Mus musculus: one gene and its partner. The main gene of each other region encodes a partner of the protein of the gene in region 2 in a complex. Links are inferred from orthologs where the notes say so. Each region holds a gene or a part of one and is shown on either strand. Other genes may lie near its edges.

The links. The genes of interacting proteins can lie anywhere in the genome.
Region 1: the proteins of Mad2l1 (region 2) and Mad1l1 are in contact, whole or in part, in a crystal structure (PDB 1GO4), measured with the Homo sapiens proteins. The link is inferred for Mus musculus from reciprocal best matches to the Homo sapiens genes MAD2L1 and MAD1L1. Residues at the interface, in NP_002349.1 of Homo sapiens: Tyr38, Leu61, Tyr64, Asn67, Val68, Trp75, Gln82, Lys83, Ser89, Ile91, Glu92, Ser93, Gly94, Arg99, Gln101, Ser150, Phe151, Asp152, Leu153, Leu154, Ile155, Tyr156, Thr157, Asp158, Lys159, Asp160, Leu161, Val163, Lys166, Trp167; in NP_001013858.1 of Homo sapiens: Glu527, Arg528, Ala530, Leu531, Gln532, Gly533, Asp534, Tyr535, Gln537, Ser538, Arg539, Thr540, Lys541, Val542, Leu543, His544, Met545, Ser546, Leu547, Asn548, Pro549, Thr550, Ala553, Arg554, Leu557.

What each region holds. Positions count from the first base shown.
Region 1 is NC_000071.6:140,300,748-140,305,170, reverse strand, and holds part of Mad1l1 (mitotic spindle assembly checkpoint protein MAD1), read left to right. Parts: intron 1-1,473; coding exon 1,474-1,598; intron 1,599-2,174; coding exon 2,175-2,256; intron 2,257-4,423. UniProt on the Homo sapiens protein: Component of the spindle-assembly checkpoint that prevents the onset of anaphase until all chromosomes are properly aligned at the metaphase plate.
Region 2 is NC_000072.6:66,533,191-66,538,284, forward strand, and holds the start of Mad2l1 (mitotic spindle assembly checkpoint protein MAD2A), read left to right. Parts: upstream 1-2,030; 5' UTR 2,031-2,336; coding exon 2,337-2,409; intron 2,410-2,767; coding exon 2,768-2,914; intron 2,915-4,378; coding exon 4,379-4,499; intron 4,500-5,094. UniProt on the Homo sapiens protein: Component of the spindle-assembly checkpoint that prevents the onset of anaphase until all chromosomes are properly aligned at the metaphase plate.

The DNA of each region.
Region 1 (4,423 bases), on a different chromosome or scaffold from region 2:
TAGAGGCCGATGGTGAAGTTGGCTTTCCCCCTGCTTTATGTGAGTCCTTTCTGAGTGGCCAGTGCTTTGCAGTTGAGCTGTCCCACCAGCCCTGGTGATTGTCTGCCTGTCTCCCCCTTCTTTTCTTTCTTTTTTTAGTTTTTTTCTTTCTTTCTGTTTTTCTTTTTTTCGTGTCAGGGATTTATGTAGTTCAGGCTGGCCTCAAACTAGCTATATAGCCAAAGATAATGTTGAGAGACTTTTCTCCCTAGGCTATGTCTGCTCTTCCCCTGTAAGGGACAAAAGACACTCGTGGGGAAGCAGTGAGTTTGTTAGGTTTATGCATGTGAATATAGGTGCTCATGGAAGCTGTGTGCTGGAGGCATTGTGTTCCCCAGAGCTGGCATTACAGACAGGTGTGCCACCCGGTGTGAGTGCTGGGGACTGAATCCGGGTGCTCTGGAAGAGTAGTATGTGCTCTTAACAACTGGGCCCTATCTCTGTTTTCAACTTTTATATATATCTGTTTTCAACATTCATTCATTCATTCATTCATTCATTCATTTATTTAGGATTTTTCGAGACAGGGTTTCTCTGTGTAGCCCTGGTTGTCCTGGAACTCACTCTGTAGACAAGGCTGGCCTCGAACTCAGAAATCCGCCTGCCTCTGCCTCCTGAGTGCTGGGATTAAAGGCGTGCGCCACCATGCCCGGCTATTCATTTATTTTTTAAGCCAAGATCTTACTCTAGAGCGCTGGCCGGCCTTAGACCCATATAGTTCTCCTGCTTCTGCCTCTGAGCGCCAGGATTAGAGATGTGTGCCTTGTGCTTTACCTTCTTTTGAGTTTTTATTTTGAGATAGGTTCTCAGTAAGCTGCTCAGATTGGCTTTGAACCTACTCTGTAGCCTTCATGGCGATTAAACTTTTAACTCACCTGCTTCAGCCTCCCAAGTAGCTGTCTTAACAGGCCTGCTTCACCAGCTGAGCTCTGAAGCTAAGTTCTGATGATGACCTACATCTTGGCCAGGACCTTGCTGTCTTTCCATCCTGGGTTACGTTATGTTGGAATGTTGACATGCAGATGCTATGGAGGCTTGGAGTGTGATGGAGGTCCGAGGTGTGGAAAATGCTGAAGTAGACATGTGGGGTCCAGGATGCTGGATGTGGTACCCTGTATGGAGGCTAATAGACTTTAGAGTATCAGACGTAGCTAGGACCAGCTTCCCTAGAGGCTCTGACCCTCATCTGTGTCAGTGGTGTGGAGCACAAGGCAGGCATTGAGCCGGGATGCTCATGAGAGACAGTGTTGTCTACTCGCCACATGCTTCGAGGACAGGGGGCTCTGTTCTGTCCTGAGCAGCACATGGAGGCACACTGCCCTTCCTTTCTCTTTGGTCTCAGTGAGGGAGAGCTGTGCTTGGGTACTTTTGGTTCATTGTCTGCGTGCAGTTGGGGCCTCACTGAGCAGCCAGTTTTGCTTTCTTAACTTCCAGATGATTAGTTCATTGAAGGGGCGTGTCTCGGAGCTGCAGTTGAGTGCCATGGACCAGAAGGTACAGGTCAAGCGGCTGGAGTCTGAAAAGCAGGAGCTGAAGGAGCAGCTGGAGCTGCAGCAGCGGTGAGAGCCTGACCAGTCGCTAAGACAGTCCAAAGGCTGCATGGAGGACACAGCGAGGCCTCTGGACTTGGGAAGTGTGTGTCAGAATAAGACGGTGACAGCCTCGTTCCCTTCTTCCTGGGACTGGCTTCCACAGAGGGACGAAGCTACGCTAGGTTTTTGAGGGCGTGGGCTGCTGTGCTTGGGCAAGCTGTTCTAGGTCACAGAGGACACAGATATGTGGTAGCTAGTGGGTGGCAGTCAGGAGCCTTTGGATTCTGCCTTGAAGGTCTGGCCCTTACCCTAGGGCAGGCATTGCCTTAGGATTGTACCCTTAGTGTGGGCAGGCCTGGGTGGCCTCTGATGCTTGCTGTGACGCCAGGCTAGCAGACACTGTGGATTGAGTGGTGGATAGAGAACTAGGTCGTGCCACAGGAAGCCTGGGCTCCCTTGTAGCCCCATCAGACAATGTCACAGTCTTAAAGGTTGGCTTAGGACTTGAGGTTCCCTGGATAAGGGGTGTGTGTGTGTGTGTCCAGGCTAGGGGTAAGGTTAAAGTGGCATTATGGACTGACCTTGCATGTACTTCTCTCACAGGAAATGGCAAGAGGCAAATCAGAAGATCCAGGAGCTGCAGGCCAGTCAAGATGAGAGAGCTGAGCATGAGCAGAAGATTAAGGTAGATGCTTCCTGCCAGACTGTGCAGCTTCCTATACCAGGCAGGGGTGGGACAGCCCTCCTGTCACTCACACACCTTCCTGCCTAGACGTGTGCTCAGTGGCATATGAGGATGCATGCTGATTGCCTTGTGGATGCCAGGCCCTGTGCTGGCTCCTTGGAGGCCACAGTGAGTGCTCAAGTGCCCCAGTGATGACGACCCACTAGAAATCCATGGGAAAAGGCTAACACAGAGGACTGCAATCTAGGCTTAGAGAGCCCAGCCACAGAGGCCAAGATGAGACACTATGAGTTTGAGAGCGAGTGCTCCATGAAGTAGAGTTGGGGGTGGAGATCCTGTGCAAGTCTGCACAGCTAAGCATGGCCGAGCGAGATCACCACTCCAGGGCTCTGATTTAAGTTCAGCCTCCTTTATTCTGGTGGGTGTTGCTGGAGAGGTGCCGCCGCCGAGACCTCCCTTCCATGGTTTCCTGTTGCCTTTACTGTGATAGCCAGTCCTGGGAAGGAGACTGTGTCAGTTGTCTCCCTCTCTGTGTGGTGTGAGCACCAAGGCAGTAGGCTCTGCTCCTTGTGCCTCTGGCACTGCTTTACCTGGCTCTGTTGTCTTTTGGACTTATTTGCTTAAAGATCAATTTTTATTTTTATATGTGTGGGTATGGGTGTCTGCAGAGATCAGAAGAGGCCTGGAATTGGAGTTAAGATGCTAGCTGCCTAACCAGATGCTAGGAACTGAATTTGGGTCCTCTGGAAGAGCAGCAAGTATTGTTAGTTGCTGAGCCTTCTCCCTAGGCCCGAGTCCAACCTTCTTACCTCTCACAATTCCCTTGTGCATAGAGGTTGACCAGTTGGTCTTCTCTGTCTCTTTGTTCCCACTACTTGACTCTACCTGGATGGAGCTGGGCTCTATGAAGGGTCCTGATCAATTGTTTTGGTCCTGGTTTTATATATAGCTTGTTCAGTGACTTGTCACTAGGTTCCTGTGCTACCTTGTTGAGAGTCATAGTGACAGGTGCAGTGTAGGTACGCCTGCTGCACAGTGGGAACAGATGCAAGGGTTGCAGGTTCACCACCCACGTGGCAGAAGCTGACCACAGCGGGCCAGAGGGGCCTGTGGCACTGAACCGTTGGGGACCAGAGGGCTGGATGGTGTGTGGCCAGGCACAGGCAAGAGGGACAGTGGTGTGGGTACTGGCTCTTGGGTGCTCCAGTGCTGCTCCAGAGGTGGTGTTGAGGATGCAGCATAGCGGGTTAGCCTTGGAACACTTCCTACACTGTCTGGACTGTGGAGACCATTGAGGTCCTAGGACAAGTTAGAAGACCTTTGCTTTGCTTAAAAAAAGAAAAAAAAAAAAAAGGAAAAAAAAAAGAAAAAAGAAAAAAAGAGGCAGCCGGGCAGTGGTGGCACACACCTTTAATCTCAGCACTTGGGGAGGCAGAGGCATGCAGATTTCTGAGTTCGAGGCCAGCCTGGTCTACAGAGTGGGTTCCAGGATGGCTAGGGCTACACAGAGAAACCCTGTCTCGAAAAACCGAGGGAAAAAAAAAAAAAGAGAGAAGAAAAGAAAAAAAAAAAAGAAAAAAGAAAAGAAAAGAGAAAGGCTTATTTAATTAAAAATTAGGTATATATGTAGGTATGTATGTGTAAGAATGTGTGTGTGAATGCGGGTGTACGGGCATGCCAGAGACGTCATATCCCCTGGGCCTGGAGTTACAGATAGTTGTGAGTTTGACATGTATGCTGGGGGTCAGTGTTGTTCCTTAGGATGTTATCTACTTTTTTCTTTTCTGGACAGGTCTGGTTGGCTTTGTTTTTCATTTAATCTATCTATCTATCTTCCTTCCTTCCTTCCTTCCTTCCTTCCTTCCTTCCTTCCTTCCTTCCTTTATTTATTTCTGCAAGTCGTTCTATGTAGCCCTGGCTGTTCTGGAAATCACTATGTAGACCAGGCTGACCTTGAACTCACAGAGATCCACTTGTCTCTGCCTCCTGAGTGCTGAGATTAAAAGCCTGTGTTACTATACCAGTCTTTAAAAAAAAAAAAAGTGTGTGTGTGTGTGTGTGTGTGTGTGTGTGTGTGTGTGTGTGTGTTAGGAAGCATTGAGGGGATTTAGGGCCTCATACTTTCTTGCATGGCAAGTGATTACTGACCGAGCAGGTTCCCTAGCTT
Region 2 (5,094 bases):
AAAATTAGCAGATTAAAATTTTTCTATGATATTTAAAATAAACCGCTTAGTTTCAAGACCCTTATTTATATATATTTCCAATACGTATGATGCACATATTTTAAATTCTAAAGAGAATATAAATCCGCAGTATATTACAATTCAACATGTCATTCTGCGGTTCACTATCAACACACAAATGCCTAGAAACTATTAATCTCTGTTTTTTCTCCCTTGGTGCACTGAAGCCTTCATTTGCATTGTTTTTCAAAGGTTGCATTGTGTGGTTAAACACTGCCCTCTTCTGGTATCTGGGATTAAATGTGTATCCACACAAAATTCTTTATGGTTTATTACTGCAAAATTTCTTGACAAGTTGTGTGTGTTATTAGTTAATAAGTAAATGTTTTTAGCCCAAATCAAGTAAACTTTTTCTCAAATCATAACCACAACAATAAGGAATCTCATTTGCATTTTTCAAACAAATATGCTATAAAAGGAGACTAAACTAGGGAGTATACATTCTCTAATAAATCTGCCACTAACTAAAAACTGGATCTTGAATTAACTGTGCAACCACTCTAGATCTACTATACTATAATTTGATTAAGTCATTAATGGATTTCTTCAGCCTCAAACTTTATGTGCTTCTAGATTTAGAAAAAAAAAATACTTATTTTAATACCAAGGGGGGGGGTCAATTTCTATTCCTCCCTGTTCAAACATTCTTACCCTAAATAATACACAGCAAGAGTCTACAAAATTGTGAGTCAAAGTAAATATGAGAAACTGAGAATTTTTCAAGTATTTTATAGTATTGCTTTTAATAAATGGGGAGAGAGGTAATGTTAAACCACGCAGTCAAAAGGAAATAGGAAAGAAATCAACCATCAAAGATTCCAGATCTTTTAATGTTTCTGAAATAAATTAGATTAAGTCCAACCACCGTTTGGTAAGAAAGAGCTAGTACCTCACTTTTATCTATACCACCATTTCTTTCCTCCTCATATGTCACAGTTTCTTTCTCTGATGTATTGTTTATACAACTTCCCTGGCATCTGTTTAGTTCAGGCTCTAAACCTTCTTCTTTCTTCTCCTTGTTCTTTCTTCTTCTTCTTCAAAGATTTATTTATTATTATTATTATTATTATTATTATTATTATTATTATATATAAGTACACTGTAGCTGTCTTCAGACACACCAGAAGAGGGCGTCAGATCTCATTACAGATGGTTGTGAGCCACCATGTGATTGCTGGAATTTGAACTCAGGACCTTCGGAACAGCAGTCACTCTTACCCACTGAGCCATCTTCTTAAACCTGCATATGATAGTATCTCTAATAGTCAACTGGTTTCAAAATGCAGTCTGAGTACCAGAGTTAGAACCATTTAGCATAGTTGGAAGATGTGCCATCTCCTGGACACAATACTACTGTACAATATTAAAACTGTAGCATGAATCCCATATGTAATCGTACATGCTCTGGTATAGGCCTTAAACGATCAAAAAGAAAGTACATATGACTAAAAACTTAAAAGCAAGCTAATTGCAAAAAAAAAAAAAAAAAAAAAAAAAAAAAGGAAATCAAGTGTCTCTATCATTTAAATCCTTTGTGGACTTATAAAATCTATGTAGTATAGAAAAATAAAGACATTACTAAATGATTATTAGTGTGTGTGTGTGTACACAATTTGCAGGGGTTCGCTTCTCTACTTGGTGACAAGCATCATTAAGCTTCTGTCCCACCTAGTTCCCTTCATCATATTTAACAAAACCAAAAACCAGGTTCTCCCAGACTTGAAACTATCCTCGAAGCTGAGACCATGCTTCAGGGATGCTCAGACCACGGGTTTGACAGGCAGGTAATCTCAGGACCATCTCTGGGCCGCTTCTAGGTCACCTCATCCGAGGTCCTGCACAGTACGGACCTTGTAGGTCACCAGGACCTGGAACAAGACGCCCCAACCACTCTGCGCTTGCTCATTCGGTCAGCCAGCGAGGGCGGAGCCAGGGCCGGATACAAGTCGCTTTGGGCGGGGCTTTAACCCGTGGTGCAACTGGGCATAGGGCGGAAGAGCCGATGTGGAGCGGAATGTTGAAGAGACCCGGCTCTCTAATGTGGGAGGGGCTTAGGGAACAAAACGGAAGCCTGAGGCGGCCTTAGGGAGGGATTCGGAGTTACAAAGCCAGCCGGAAACTGGCGACGTAGGTGGGGCTTAGGGCTCATTACGCCTGCGCACCGAGCAACCGGCGGGCTGCGTAGTTATTTTTGAACCGGGTGGCGGGGAATAGCTTAGAAGCCATTAGGGCGCCGTCTGCGGTGAGGTTGGTAGTGTTCTCCGTTCGATCTAGTGATGGCACAGCAGCTCGCCCGAGAGCAAGGCATCACCCTGCGTGGGAGCGCAGAAATCGTGGCCGAGTTTTTCTGTGAGTGCTGAGCGCAGCCCCCGCCGCCAGAGAGAGCTGAGGCTGAGCCGGGCCTTAGGACGCGCGCTAGGACGGAACCACGGATCCTCCCGGGGGCGGGGAACGCTGCACCACCCAGCGCAGGCCTGGGCCTCCTGGAACCTAACGGGGCTGACCTGGGTCATCATCTTACTCGCTCTCTGAAAGCTGGGGTCTGTGTTGACATCCTCTGACCACATGCTCTGTATTTACACTTAGCAAACCTGCGAAGTTGGACATTGCTGGGTTAAAGGTTTTCCGTGTCTTTTTGTGCCTACTCTGCTTTCTGGGAGACTTAAACGTTATTACACGGTTACGGCTTTATTTCTTTCGTTTTCAGCATTTGGCATCAACAGCATTTTGTATCAGCGTGGCATTTATCCGTCGGAAACCTTTACTAGAGTGCAGAAATATGGACTCACCTTGCTTACAACTACTGACCCCGAGCTCATAAAGTATCTCAATAATGTGGTGGAACAGCTAAAAGGTAATCACGTTTTCAGTGTGTGATCTTACAGGTTTGTGTCCCAAGTAACTTAAAGCAACATGCCTTCTCAAATGTCATTCTCAACTGGGAGGAAGCAAGCAATGGAGGGAATCCCCACCTCTTTTTAAGTAGGCTGAATGTCTTGATGTTAGGAATCTTTAAGCTGCTTTAAGAGTGGGTTTTGTAGGTTAACCAGTTGCAGCAAATTGGAAATTTTACCCGATTAAAAGGATTTCGCCATTCTGTGTTTTGCTTTGTAGCTCCCAATGAAATCATACAAAATACCAATTCTAAAAGCATTGCAACTGCCTTTTTTTCTCTTTGAGTTTTATTGTACGTGAAAGGGTGTTGTAGTTTGTTTTAATTGTAAATTCATTAACAGTGTTTATTGCTTTTTTTGTTAACTTCAGTATTAAAATGGCCTTTTGGTGGCCACCTGAACATGGTTAGCTTGGCATCTGTCTTTAAGGCCGTTTTGTTTTGCTTTGCTTTTGAGACAGGTCTCTTTATGTAGCTCTGGCTGTCCTTGAACATGCTATGTAGACCCGGCTATCGTTGAACTCACAAAGATCAGCCTGGCTCTACTCCCAAGTTCTGGGACTAAAGGCATTTGCCACTGTGTCCAGTTTAAGGCCAGACTTCTAAACATGCCTTGCTATTTGTATCCATAGTAGAGTATTCATCAACACTTGTGCAGGTTGGATATGAATTCACAGGCAAAAACGGCAGGGCTTTTAAGCATAAGATCTGCTTTGAATTCTGGTATCTGTGGATCCTTTTACCCCCTGCAGCTCACTTACTTGCAAGGATGATAGTTTAGAAACACAAGGCTAATTGGTCACTCTGTCCAAAACACAGTTGTGGCTTTCCTGATTCTTAAAAGTACAGTTTCATTAATTTAACTTGTAAGATTTTATATGACATAGCATCTTGACTTTTCATAATTATGTAATTTATTTACTTTATTGAAAAGAATTTACTTTTCAATTAGTCTGCCCATGTATGCATGTATATACATGTGTGTGTGTGTGTGTGTGTGTGTGTGTGTGCAGGCGTGCATGCATGCCCTTCCCATTTAAAACCTGTATTTGCCTCTCCTTTGTACAGTTAGTGTAAAAACTAATCTTTCCCTCACCTACCAGAGTAGTCCGATTTTTTATGCTCTTATAGTGTCTCTGTTGTGACCAGCCACCACAGATGTGACTGGCGGTGGTTAGATGAGTATATGTCATATGCTCTCACTGGGAATTGCAGAGAAAGTACAGGTTCACGGTTCTGATGCTCTGCCTTCTGCCTATTAGTAATATGGAGAATTTAAAACTCAGCTAAATTATTAGTGGAGAATTGTCTTCCTTATGCAAGAAAGGAAGTTCAATTGTGAGAGTTCTGTAAGGCCGAGAGTGGGTCTTTGGAAGAGAGTCTCTGTCATAGGCTAGAGTCTGAGCGCTGCCTTGTGTGTTGCAGAGTGGCTGTACAAGTGCTCAGTTCAGAAACTGGTGGTGGTCATCTCAAATATTGAAAGTGGTGAAGTCCTTGAAAGATGGCAGTTTGATATTGAGTGTGACAAAACTGCAAAAGAGGAAGGGTAAGTATGAGCTGAGTTATTCCTACCTTAATTTGTTTTTATGTTGTTGCATGAGTTCACATTGTATTGAACTGATTTCTTACAGTTACTGTCTATGGTATGTTTTTAAAGATACTTTTGTTCTTTTGTTAGCTTGTGAGGGATTTCTTTTTTTTTTTTTTTTTTTTTTTTTTGGTATTTCGAGACAGGGTTTCTCTGTATAGCCCTGACTGTCCTGGAACTCACTTTGTAGACCAGGCTGGCCTTGAACTCAGAAATCTGCCTGCCTCTGCCTCCCGAGTGCTAGAATTAAAGGCGTGCTCCGCCTCGCCCAGCTGTGAGGGATTTCTGAGTTCCTCATAGCCTGTCAGGGATTGTGTAGATAAGATACTTTCAGCATACTGCCTTTGGGAAAACCCCATGAGATTAGGCCTTCGTGTTTGTGGTTATACCTGAACCTCTCACAATATAATATATGTGGGCCATGTAATCACTGGCTTAAACGTACAGGAGATGATCCTAGACTCATTCCTAATTTAGATGAAGCTCTACTGTACTTCCCCTATTGCCGTGAACTTTGTAAACTAAAGATTGCAAGCACTCTACATCAGAAATG